Linked DNA regions of Schizosaccharomyces pombe. Changing the gene in region 1 together with any one later gene gives a genetic interaction. Each region holds a gene or a part of one and is shown in the gene's direction. Other genes may lie near its edges. The genes, in order: ptr2 and isp4.

Region 1 (5,262 bases):
GCAATGCTAGAAGCATAGATATCGATGTGACATTGCATACTCCTTCGTTATTGGGGATTTATTTACTAATGCTATCAAACTCAAGTTTCTTCAAAGTTATCATGAACTTACTATAAGAAATCTGATTCTGTGATAGAAGATATCGTTTGGAATTTAGGGTATACTATCTGTTGCTAATTTGCATACTTTTTGAAGTCTTGTGCCTCGCCTTACACAACCATCTCGTTTGCTTGACGGAGGGTAGGGTATCGCTGCATAACGAGTTGGACCATTTCTTACTAGGCTTTCCCGATACTTTCAGCAATCTTGCAGCATTATGGTTTCATTTGGCAAAATGAGGGAAAATGGGTGCGAAAAATTGCTCATACACCAACAAGTCCGTTTTGGAGTGTGATATGTTCATTTCCGTGACAGTTATACCCACTACTATTAATGCTATCACTATTCTTCCTTTCTTACTTTACTTTACCTTACCTACTTGTTGTCGTCCCTCATCATCTTTGCGACAATTCATGTGGGGGTAGGCGAACTAGTCGCTTTTACTATCTCTGCCACCCACGATGTTTACCGGGTTCGAGGTTCTTAAAGAGAAGACCTTGTTTCCTCGTGCACACACCGTGCTACAGCAGACCACTCACCATTCGCATACATAGTTTTACCTTGGTGAATCGCCAGCGCTAATCGCGGAATACCCGGGGAAGGAAACAAGAGAGAAGAGACACGCGAACGTGGTGTAAAGGCCGATGTCGAGAAGAAGGAATGAATTCAACGGTTAAATAAATAAATAAAAACAACAATGTAACACTCATCAAACGATTACATAAATTTAATAAATATGCAAAGTATTAAGAATCTAACAAATATGTAATTATTATTAATGAGCAAACTACAAGTAAGCAATGAATACAACTCAACCCTCAAACCTCTAAAATTATTGAAAAACTTCGTTCACCTGTATGTCGTCGTGAGAGAATAAGAAACGTAGAGGATGTGTTTGTAAATAACAATATGTATGACAATACATAGACAGTCATCTCTTTTCTACCTTTTCCCTCATCCTCATCCATACTCATATAGTAACACTTATACCTTTTACTCTCACTTTCACATATACTAACTATATTGTCTCACATTCTTTCTATACCTCTCCTCACTCTCATTCTCACTCCTGTAGTGAAACTTCTATTTTTGGCACTATAACGTGCTACTCGTTTTTTCCATATGCTCTGCACGTTGTGCTCTTGACCATTTAATTCCATGCACCCCACTTGGTACCCAATTTCATCCCCACTTTTTCGGTCAAGTACGACTTTCCACTTCAACCATGCGATGTGGTGGCACAAAAGTCCTAAATGGAGGTACACGAGTTTTTTCTATCGTTAAGCAAAAACACGCAACTGAACAAGTGCGCAATCCTTCCGCATGATAGTGGAGTAGATGAAAAAAACGGCATCACACGAAGAAATCCAAGCTTATCTATTTCCAGCGGATTTACCAATTTTCACCCCTTTTTCCAACAGGTCACACGTTGTGCGATATGGTTACTCCTCGTGCATTTTTAATCAAATAGATATTCCGCACTAACGTTTTTGTCCGAAATAACATTTGATTTATCCAATCAACCATCAAACCCACCTTTCACGCATTGACCTTAATTATTAAAAATGTGCAGTCTAGACCGGTCCTCCCTCTTTTTTGATTTATCTGTAGGGAAGATAATAAACTTTTTCATACCACGTTTCCTACATTTACGATTTGTCTATCGCCTATCGTGCTTTGCTCACCGTCATTGATAAAGGCGTGCATGAACACGTGGTGACTGCTAAATCAGTGTGGACAAATTTCATTTTCAGCAGTATTTATACTTGAAAATTATCCCCTCAAAAGACATCCTTCGTCGTGCCGTCTAGTCTGTGTTTTAGAAGTAAGAGAAATTCAAAAACCTTGAGTGGAAACTCCTCATCGTTCGTATAATTAATCGTTTGACCTCTTTTGTTTGGAGTTGTGACTTTCTCCACACTTTCACATACATACACTTTTAATTTCCAAGTATTTATTTAATACATTAAGGAAAAATTTTTTCATTCTAAAAATTTTTCTTTTTTTATTATTATTGTCATAAATACTTATTTGTTGTTGTGTATATTTAATCTTGTTTTAAATACCCTTTCTCACTCTCACTCACTTTCATATTTCTTACTCTTAGTTGAGTTAGTCGGCCTTCGATACACATATAAAAGTGTTTATTTTAACTTTTTTGTGAATTCACTTGTCAATTTTGTGTAATTAGTTTGACTAATTATTATTATTATTATTTTTGATCTATTCTTTTTTTTATCTTTTGTACTACAATTGTTTTTTAATCTTTCGCTTGTTTACGTTATTTTTCTCTTCCTCTTTTTTTTTTTTTAATATTCGCCTCTTTTGTTTTCTCGTTTCATTGTAATTATTTTATACCCAAAAATTGTTCTTGAAACTTCTGTTCATTCTCTTTTTTATTATTATTTTTGATTTTCATACGATCGATTTCCTACATTCAATTTACCTGTGTTTACAATGAGTAGCATTGAAGAACAAATTACGAAATCGGACTCCGATTTCATCATTTCAGAAGATCAATCCTACTTAAGCAAGGAGAAAAAGGCTGATGGTTCTGCCACCATCAACACCGCTGACGAACAATCCTCCACCGATGAACTCCAAAAATCCATGTCCACCGGCGTCCTCGTCAATGGTGACTTATACCCTTCTCCTACCGAAGAAGAATTAGCCACCCTTCCTCGTGTTTGCGGTACTATTCCTTGGAAAGCCTTTATTATCATTATTGTCGAGCTTTGCGAACGTTTCGCTTACTATGGTCTCACTGTTCCCTTTCAAAATTATATGCAATTCGGTCCTAAGGATGCTACTCCAGGTGCCCTTAATTTAGGCGAAAGCGGTGCTGACGGTCTTTCTAATTTCTTCACATTTTGGTGTTATGTCACCCCGGTTGGCGCTGCACTTATTGCTGATCAATTCCTTGGTAGGTACAATACCATTGTTTGCTCTGCTGTCATTTACTTTATTGGTATCTTGATTCTTACATGTACTGCTATTCCTTCTGTCATTGATGCCGGAAAAAGTATGGGTGGGTTTGTCGTCTCTTTGATCATCATTGGTCTTGGAACCGGTGGTATCAAATCCAATGTTTCCCCCTTGATGGCTGAACAGCTTCCAAAAATTCCTCCTTATGTAAAGACCAAGAAAAATGGTAGCAAGGTCATTGTTGACCCCGTCGTCACCACCTCTCGTGCCTATATGATTTTCTACTGGTCAATTAACGTCGGTTCTCTCTCCGTATTAGCCACCACTAGTTTGGAAAGTACTAAAGGTTTTGTTTACGCATACTTGCTTCCCTTGTGCGTCTTTGTTATCCCCTTAATTATTTTGGCTGTTAGTAAGCGCTTTTACAAGCACACTCCTCCCTCCGGTTCCATCTTTGTTCGTGTTGGTCAAGTGTTCTTCCTTGCTGCTCAAAACAAATTTAATCTCGAAAAAACTAAACCATCTTGCACTACTACTGTTGGACGCGTTACGCTCAAGGATCAGTGGGATGACTTGTTTATCGACGAATTGAAACGTGCCTTACGCGCCTGCAAAACTTTTCTCTTTTACCCTATCTATTGGGTATGCTATGGTCAAATGACCAACAACTTAATTTCTCAAGCTGGACAAATGCAAACGGGTAATGTCTCTAACGATCTTTTCCAAGCCTTCGATTCAATCGCCTTGATTATTTTCATTCCCATTTGTGACAATATCATCTATCCATTATTGCGTAAGTATAACATCCCTTTCAAACCCATCCTTCGTATTACTTTAGGGTTTATGTTTGCTACTGCTTCCATGATTTACGCTGCTGTTTTACAAGCAAAGATTTATCAAAGAGGCCCTTGCTATGCAAATTTTACTGATACATGTGTTTCCAATGACATCAGTGTTTGGATCCAAATCCCTGCTTACGTTTTGATTGCTTTCTCTGAAATTTTTGCCAGTATTACTGGTTTAGAATTTGCATTTACCAAGGCCCCTCCTTCAATGAAATCCATTATTACTGCTTTGTTCTTGTTCACCAATGCATTCGGTGCCATTCTATCTATTTGCATTTCTTCTACTGCTGTCAATCCTAAGCTTACTTGGATGTACACTGGTATTGCCGTCACTGCCTTTATTGCTGGTATTATGTTTTGGGTTTGCTTCCACCACTATGATGCTATGGAAGATGAACAAAATCAACTTGAGTTCAAGCGTAATGATGCGTTAACGAAGAAGGACGTTGAAAAGGAAGTTCATGATAGTTATAGCATGGCAGATGAGTCCCAATACAATTTGGAAAAAGCAACTGCTGAAGAGGAAATCATGAAAAGCACATAATACTTAATTTAACTTAATTCGTATTTGCGGGATGCCAATTTTTCTTTTCTTTTTTTTTTTACAAAATTTCCCAAAAAATTGGGGTTTGCATGTTTTGTTTCCATCTTTTTTTTTGTTATGATGCCGTTGTTCTACTGATGCTCCTTATTTAAATGCAGTAGTACTTATCCACTCTCAGAAAATAGAGTTTTACAGTGGGTCTATATACCAGAATTTACTACAGTGTGATTTAATGAAAATATATATTGCTGTGCATAATTTAAAATATTAAAGAAAGTATCAAATATGTTGAAAATAAGAAATTCTTTAGCGGTAAACAAAACTGTATGTGTTGAGACAAGAAACTGTTTTTTAGTAGAACCGACGTGAGATTAGTCCAATAATCAACTTTTCTAAGCGTTTGCGAATTAAGCTAGCTCACTTAACCAACCTGATGACAAAAGTTTTTGATGAAAACTAATTCGGAAAATGTCAAACAAAATTTTTAAGGTGAAAAACTGAAAATTATATAAAGCAAACGAACGACTAGATCTAGTTTGGAGTTGACTAAAAATTAGACATGGGATATCAAAACTTCCAAGCAATAACGAATGACTAACAAACGGAAGTCAAACTATACATGACAACGCATTTAATAATATAAAAGACTGGCTAGTAAACAAATACGAGGATAACAAAGTGTAAGCTATTTTGAGTTTTGAAGAAGTTTGGAACAAATAGCTTGAACACTAGTTTTGCCATGACTGATGAGATAGTTTTGTAAATCTTCAACAAGTTGCACTTGCTGAGTGGTCGTGAGGCTATAAACTGCTGTATCCAATAAATCAGCAACAGATGTACTCTTTTCTG
Region 2 (5,080 bases), 1.9 Mb from region 1:
AGAGAGAAAACAAAGTCATCGAAACGTAGGAATAATCATTAGGAAGAAACAAAATCAAACATTCGCTAACCGATGAAAAGTTAACTCGTGAAGCTGAAAGACAAAGACGTTTAAATTTTATTGCATGAACATTTAAATCGTACTGCATGAACATTTGTATTCTACTACACATTATATTTTATTCTACTGCATTCACTGTGTTTTACAATTGTCTCTTTACTCCATGCAATTCTAGCAAATTTTATTTTCATTCAACTTTACTATTTTTGTCTGTCTTTGTCTTTGTTCGTTCTCATTCTCATTCCCATTCCAACTCCCATTCCCATTCTCCCCGACCTTCTCCTTGCCCTTTACCCATTTTTACGTTTATCGCATCTCATTTCGTTTCATCTCATTTTGTTTTGTCTTCCCCAACGTCGGCTGTCAACCTCCCGTCTCCATACTAAACCTGATGCACGCCTATCTTTCCTAGTCAAGAAAGAACAACAACAAAAAAGAAAAAAAAAAAAAAGGAAAAAAAAATTTCCTTTTTTATTACGATAGTCGTGCTGGCAACAGAAAGCCCTTTGCACATACATCACAAACATTCGTTTGTTAGTGTTTGCACGTGTGTAATAGCGTTTTTCCTTATCGAAGAAATTTGTTGAAGGAATTGACGAGAGTGCTACTTCAAGAGAGTTGGCCGATGGAATTTTTCGCATGTGCCACAGTTTCGCTTGACATTGGTGGTACAACGATAAGAATCCCGCGTTACCGTTTAGCAATCGAGACAGGCAAACCCAGACAGCGAAAAAGAGTGAGAAAATGGGAAAGAGAGAGAGAGAGAGAGAGGAAGAGAAAAGGGATGAATTGAAATATAAAAAAATATATATAAATAAAAACAACAATACATACACTTACACTTACACTTACATACAAACACACACACATCAATTGAATCAAAATTATGAAAATATAAACAAATCCTCTTTTTTTTCCTTTTCTTTTTTTTTTCTTTTCTTTTCTTCAGCTTTACATCCCTTTGAATCCTCATCATCTGTGCTTTTTTCAATTCCGTTTTGCTTTGTCAATTCTGCTTTGCTTTGCTTATCAGTTCTACTTTGTCGATTGTGCTTTCTTCCTCTCTCTCCATCGTCAAGCTTTGCCGCCCCTGACCCCTTCATGACAACAGTACGACTTTTATCAAGATAGAATAGAACTGACTGGTCATCTCCTGCATCCCATTTATGTAATAAGGACTTTATCTCTGATTCATATTTCACACACAATGAGCGAAAGGGTTGGTTATCATGGAAGGAAGAAAGAGCAATGAATTGATTACGAGTGGAAAAAATCAAATGCCGCACCTTTTTTCCCTTTTATATATAGAGGTGAAAATCCCTCCATGTGTCAACTCAAAATAAAAGTTGAACAAATTAACATCGATTATTGTTTGCACGTTTTTCGGCAGCTAAATCCCCCCGCCCGCTCCAAGATACTAAAAGTTTGGAAACCATTGTAACATAAAAAGAAAAGGAAAGTTAAAGAAAAAACAAAAACTAAATTGTTATTGTTGCTGTACTAGACTATACTCTACTCTACTTTACTATACTATACTATACTATTCTATTCTAGACTATACTATTTTTGTACAGTCTATAAAAACCATCTTGTATACATTTTTATCTCTACATACGTGGACGTTGATTCCATAAAAACATAAAGGTGTTTTTCTTCCTTCACGAATTTTATTGATGAAGAAGTATTAAACACTTTGCTCTTTTTCCAAATCCCATCCATTGCTCGTTTCTTCAATCACCGTGAAGTTTCGTAGTGATTTTTTTGTGATTTCTTTATCGTATCGCACTGTTCGTTTCGTTTCGTTTCATAAATACATCATTTTCGTTTCGTCTCTCGTCAATTCTATTTGGAAAATCTTGTTTCCTCTCTTTCGAAAACTAAGCAAAAACTTTTTCTAGTATTTCTCTCTCTCAACCATTTTTGGTTTGTTTCTTTTTATTTTTTTGGTGAATCAAGTTTGACTTTTTTTTTTTCTCTCTCTCTCTCTCTCTCTCTCTTGATTCTCCTCCCTTCTTCCCATAATGATCGGTTCCATCAATGAGTCTCCCATCGAGGAGCATATGAATGACTCCCCCTCTACAAAGGAAAAGGCCGACTCCGTCGACATCTCTGATTACATCGTTAGCCATTCCGATGACAGTTTATCCAAAGACATCAAGAAAGACACAAAGTCCTTTCTCGATGTCGAACATGGTGAAATTAGTACGGTTGACGAGTTTGAGGAAGACTCTCCTTATCCAGAGGTTCGTGCCGCCGTCCCTCCTACCGATGATCCAAGTATGCCATGCAACACCATTCGCATGTGGACCATTGGTCTCATCTATTCCACCGTTGGTGCCGCCGTCAACATGTTCTTTTCCCTTCGAAACCCAACCGTCACTTTGAGTGTTTTGATTTCCGAGCTTCTCGCATACCCAGCATTACAGATTTGGGACTTGATTTTCCCCGATCGCGAATTTCGCATTGGACGTTTAAAGTTTAATTTTAAGCCTGGTCCCTTTAACGTTAAAGAACATGCTCTCATCGTCGTTATGTCGAGTGTATCGTTTGGTAATGCCTACTCCACCGATATCATCCTCGCCCAACGTGTACACTACAAACAGCGCTTCGGCTTTGGCTACGAAATCTGTTTGACTTTGGCCACTCAACTTATCGGATACGGATTGGCTGGTTTATCCAGAAGACTTTTGGTCCGTCCTGCTAGTATGTTGTGGCCTGTGAATCTCGTTCAATGCACCTTGATCAAGACTTTACATCGCAAAGACTTACGAAACGCCGTTGCCAATGGCTGGAGAATTTCCCCCTTCCGTTTCTTTTTGTACGTTTTTATTGCTTCATTCATTTGGAATTGGTTCCCTTCCTACATTTTCCAAGCCCTTTCCCTATTTGCTTGGGTCACTTGGATTCGTCCTAATAGTCCAACTGTAAATCAAATCTTTGGTGAATCCACCGGAATCTCCATCCTTCCCATGACTTTTGATTGGAATCAAATTTCCGCATACATTCTTTCCCCCCTCATGGCTCCTGCCGATGCTTTGATGAACATTCTTTTGGGCGTCATTCTATTCTTTTGGATCGTCACTCCAGCCCTTAACTTTACCAACACGTGGTATGGTGATTACCTACCGATCAGTAGTTCTGGTATTATCGATCACTTTGGTAATAGCTATAACGTTACTCGCATCCTCACCAAGGATGCTACGTTTGATTTGGATGCCTATCAAAACTATTCTCCCATTTTCATGTCCACCACCTACGCTTTGGCATTTGGCCTTTCCTTCGCTTCCATCACTTCTGTCATTTTCCACGTGATCCTATACCATGGAAAAGAGATCTACGACAGGTTACGCGATCCACCCGCACCTGATATCCATGAAAAACTCATGAAAGCCTATGATGAAGTTCCCTTCTATTGGTATTTGAGTGTTTTCTTGGCCTTTTTCGGCATGATGATGGGTACTATTTATGGTTGGAAAACGGAAACCCCTTGGTGGGTTATCATTGTCGGTGTCATTTTCTCTGCTGTATGGTTCATTCCAATTGGCATCGTTCAAGCTATAACCAACATCCAGCTAGGCTTGAATGTATTCACCGAGTTTATCGTTGGTTATATGTATCCTGGTCGTCCTTTGGCCATGATGATTTTCAAGACTGTCGGTTATATTACAATGACTCAGGGATTGGCTTTCGCTGCCGATCTGAAGTTTGGTCATTACATGAAGCTTCCTCCCAGAATCATGTTTTACACCCAAATGATTGCCACCATATGGTCTTGCTTTGTTCAGATCGGCGTATTGGATTGGGCTTTGGGTAATATTGATAATGTTTGCCAGGCCGATCAACCTGATAATTACACTTGTCCTAATGCAACTGTCTTTTTTAATTCTTCCGTTATTTGGGGTGTAATTGGTCCCAAGAGAATGTTTTCTGGAAAAAACACCTATACGGGATTGCAGTACTTCTGGCTCGCTGGCGTGCTGGGTACAATTTTGTTCTGGGCTCTATGGAAGAAATGGCCTCAAAAATGGTGGGGTCAATTGAATGGCCCGCTAATTTTTGGAGGTACTGGTTATATTCCCCCAGCTACTCCTGTAAACTATCTGGCTTGGTCTGGAATTGGTCTGTTCTTCAATTATTATCTGAAGAAGATATTCGCAGACTGGTGGCAGAAATACAATTTCACGCTTTCTGCTGCTCTTGATACTGGTACGCAGTTGTCGGTCATTATACTTTTCTTTTGCTTACAGTTGCCTATGGTTAATTTCCCAGATTGGTGGGGTAATGATGGTGCCTTTAATACGCTGGATGCTACAGGTGCCGCTGTTAGGAAACTCGTCAATGAGTCAGCAGGTGAATTCTTTGGTCCCGCCGAATGGTAAAATCAATGCTGTATTTTTTTCTTTGTTTTTTTTTTCCATCTTTTAACAAATGATAAAAATTATAAGCATTGATTTGTATACTAAAGCTTCGTGAATTAATTATGTCTACACTTTCTTTTAGTGTTTGAATATTCAACATCTATGCAATATATATTTTTGGATGATTGATTGTTGTCTATTTTTTTTTACGTTGCATGATTAGATTTGTGTTTAATCAATCGTTCAACAAGTTTATCTCATGTTTATTAAGCTTTCTAATTTGTTATTTTTTATTAATTGTTGTTAGAATTGAATAGTTCGTTCTAAATTGAAACAAACGTTTGCATTTTTATATACGTTTTGTAATGTGAACATCAGTAATTTCATTTTCACTTTTTGTATACATCCTCAATGTAGCGACAAACACTCACTAAGTAAAGTAAATATTGTGAAGGTGCAAATTTTAACTTGATTTCATCTTATGAATGCATGTTCGTATGATAATAGATATGTAAATGACCGATGACAAACCTATTCATTAACTTGATTTATATACTGTTCACGATATTAATACTCCCACAATACACTAAGACTTGTTGATTTCTTACATTAAAGGAAAACAGTAATCAGTTGTTATTAAAAACACTGCTGATTCTTACTAA

The links.
Region 2: mutations in ptr2 (region 1) and isp4 impair growth when combined (synthetic growth defect), as found in Schizosaccharomyces pombe (one study listed by BioGRID).

What each region holds. Positions count from the first base shown.
Region 1 is NC_003423.3:3,404,987-3,410,248, reverse strand, and holds ptr2 (PTR family peptide transporter), read left to right. Parts: upstream 1-1,889; 5' UTR 1,890-2,556; coding exon 2,557-4,413; 3' UTR 4,414-4,674; downstream 4,675-5,262. Other genes in the region: bbl1 (phosphatidate cytidylyltransferase), read right to left, coding at 5,099-5,262. UniProt on the Schizosaccharomyces pombe protein: Uptake of small peptides.
Region 2 is NC_003423.3:1,549,793-1,554,872, reverse strand, and holds isp4 (plasma membrane OPT oligopeptide transmembrane transporter family Isp4), read left to right. Parts: upstream 1-2,081; coding exon 2,082-4,439; 3' UTR 4,440-4,580; downstream 4,581-5,080.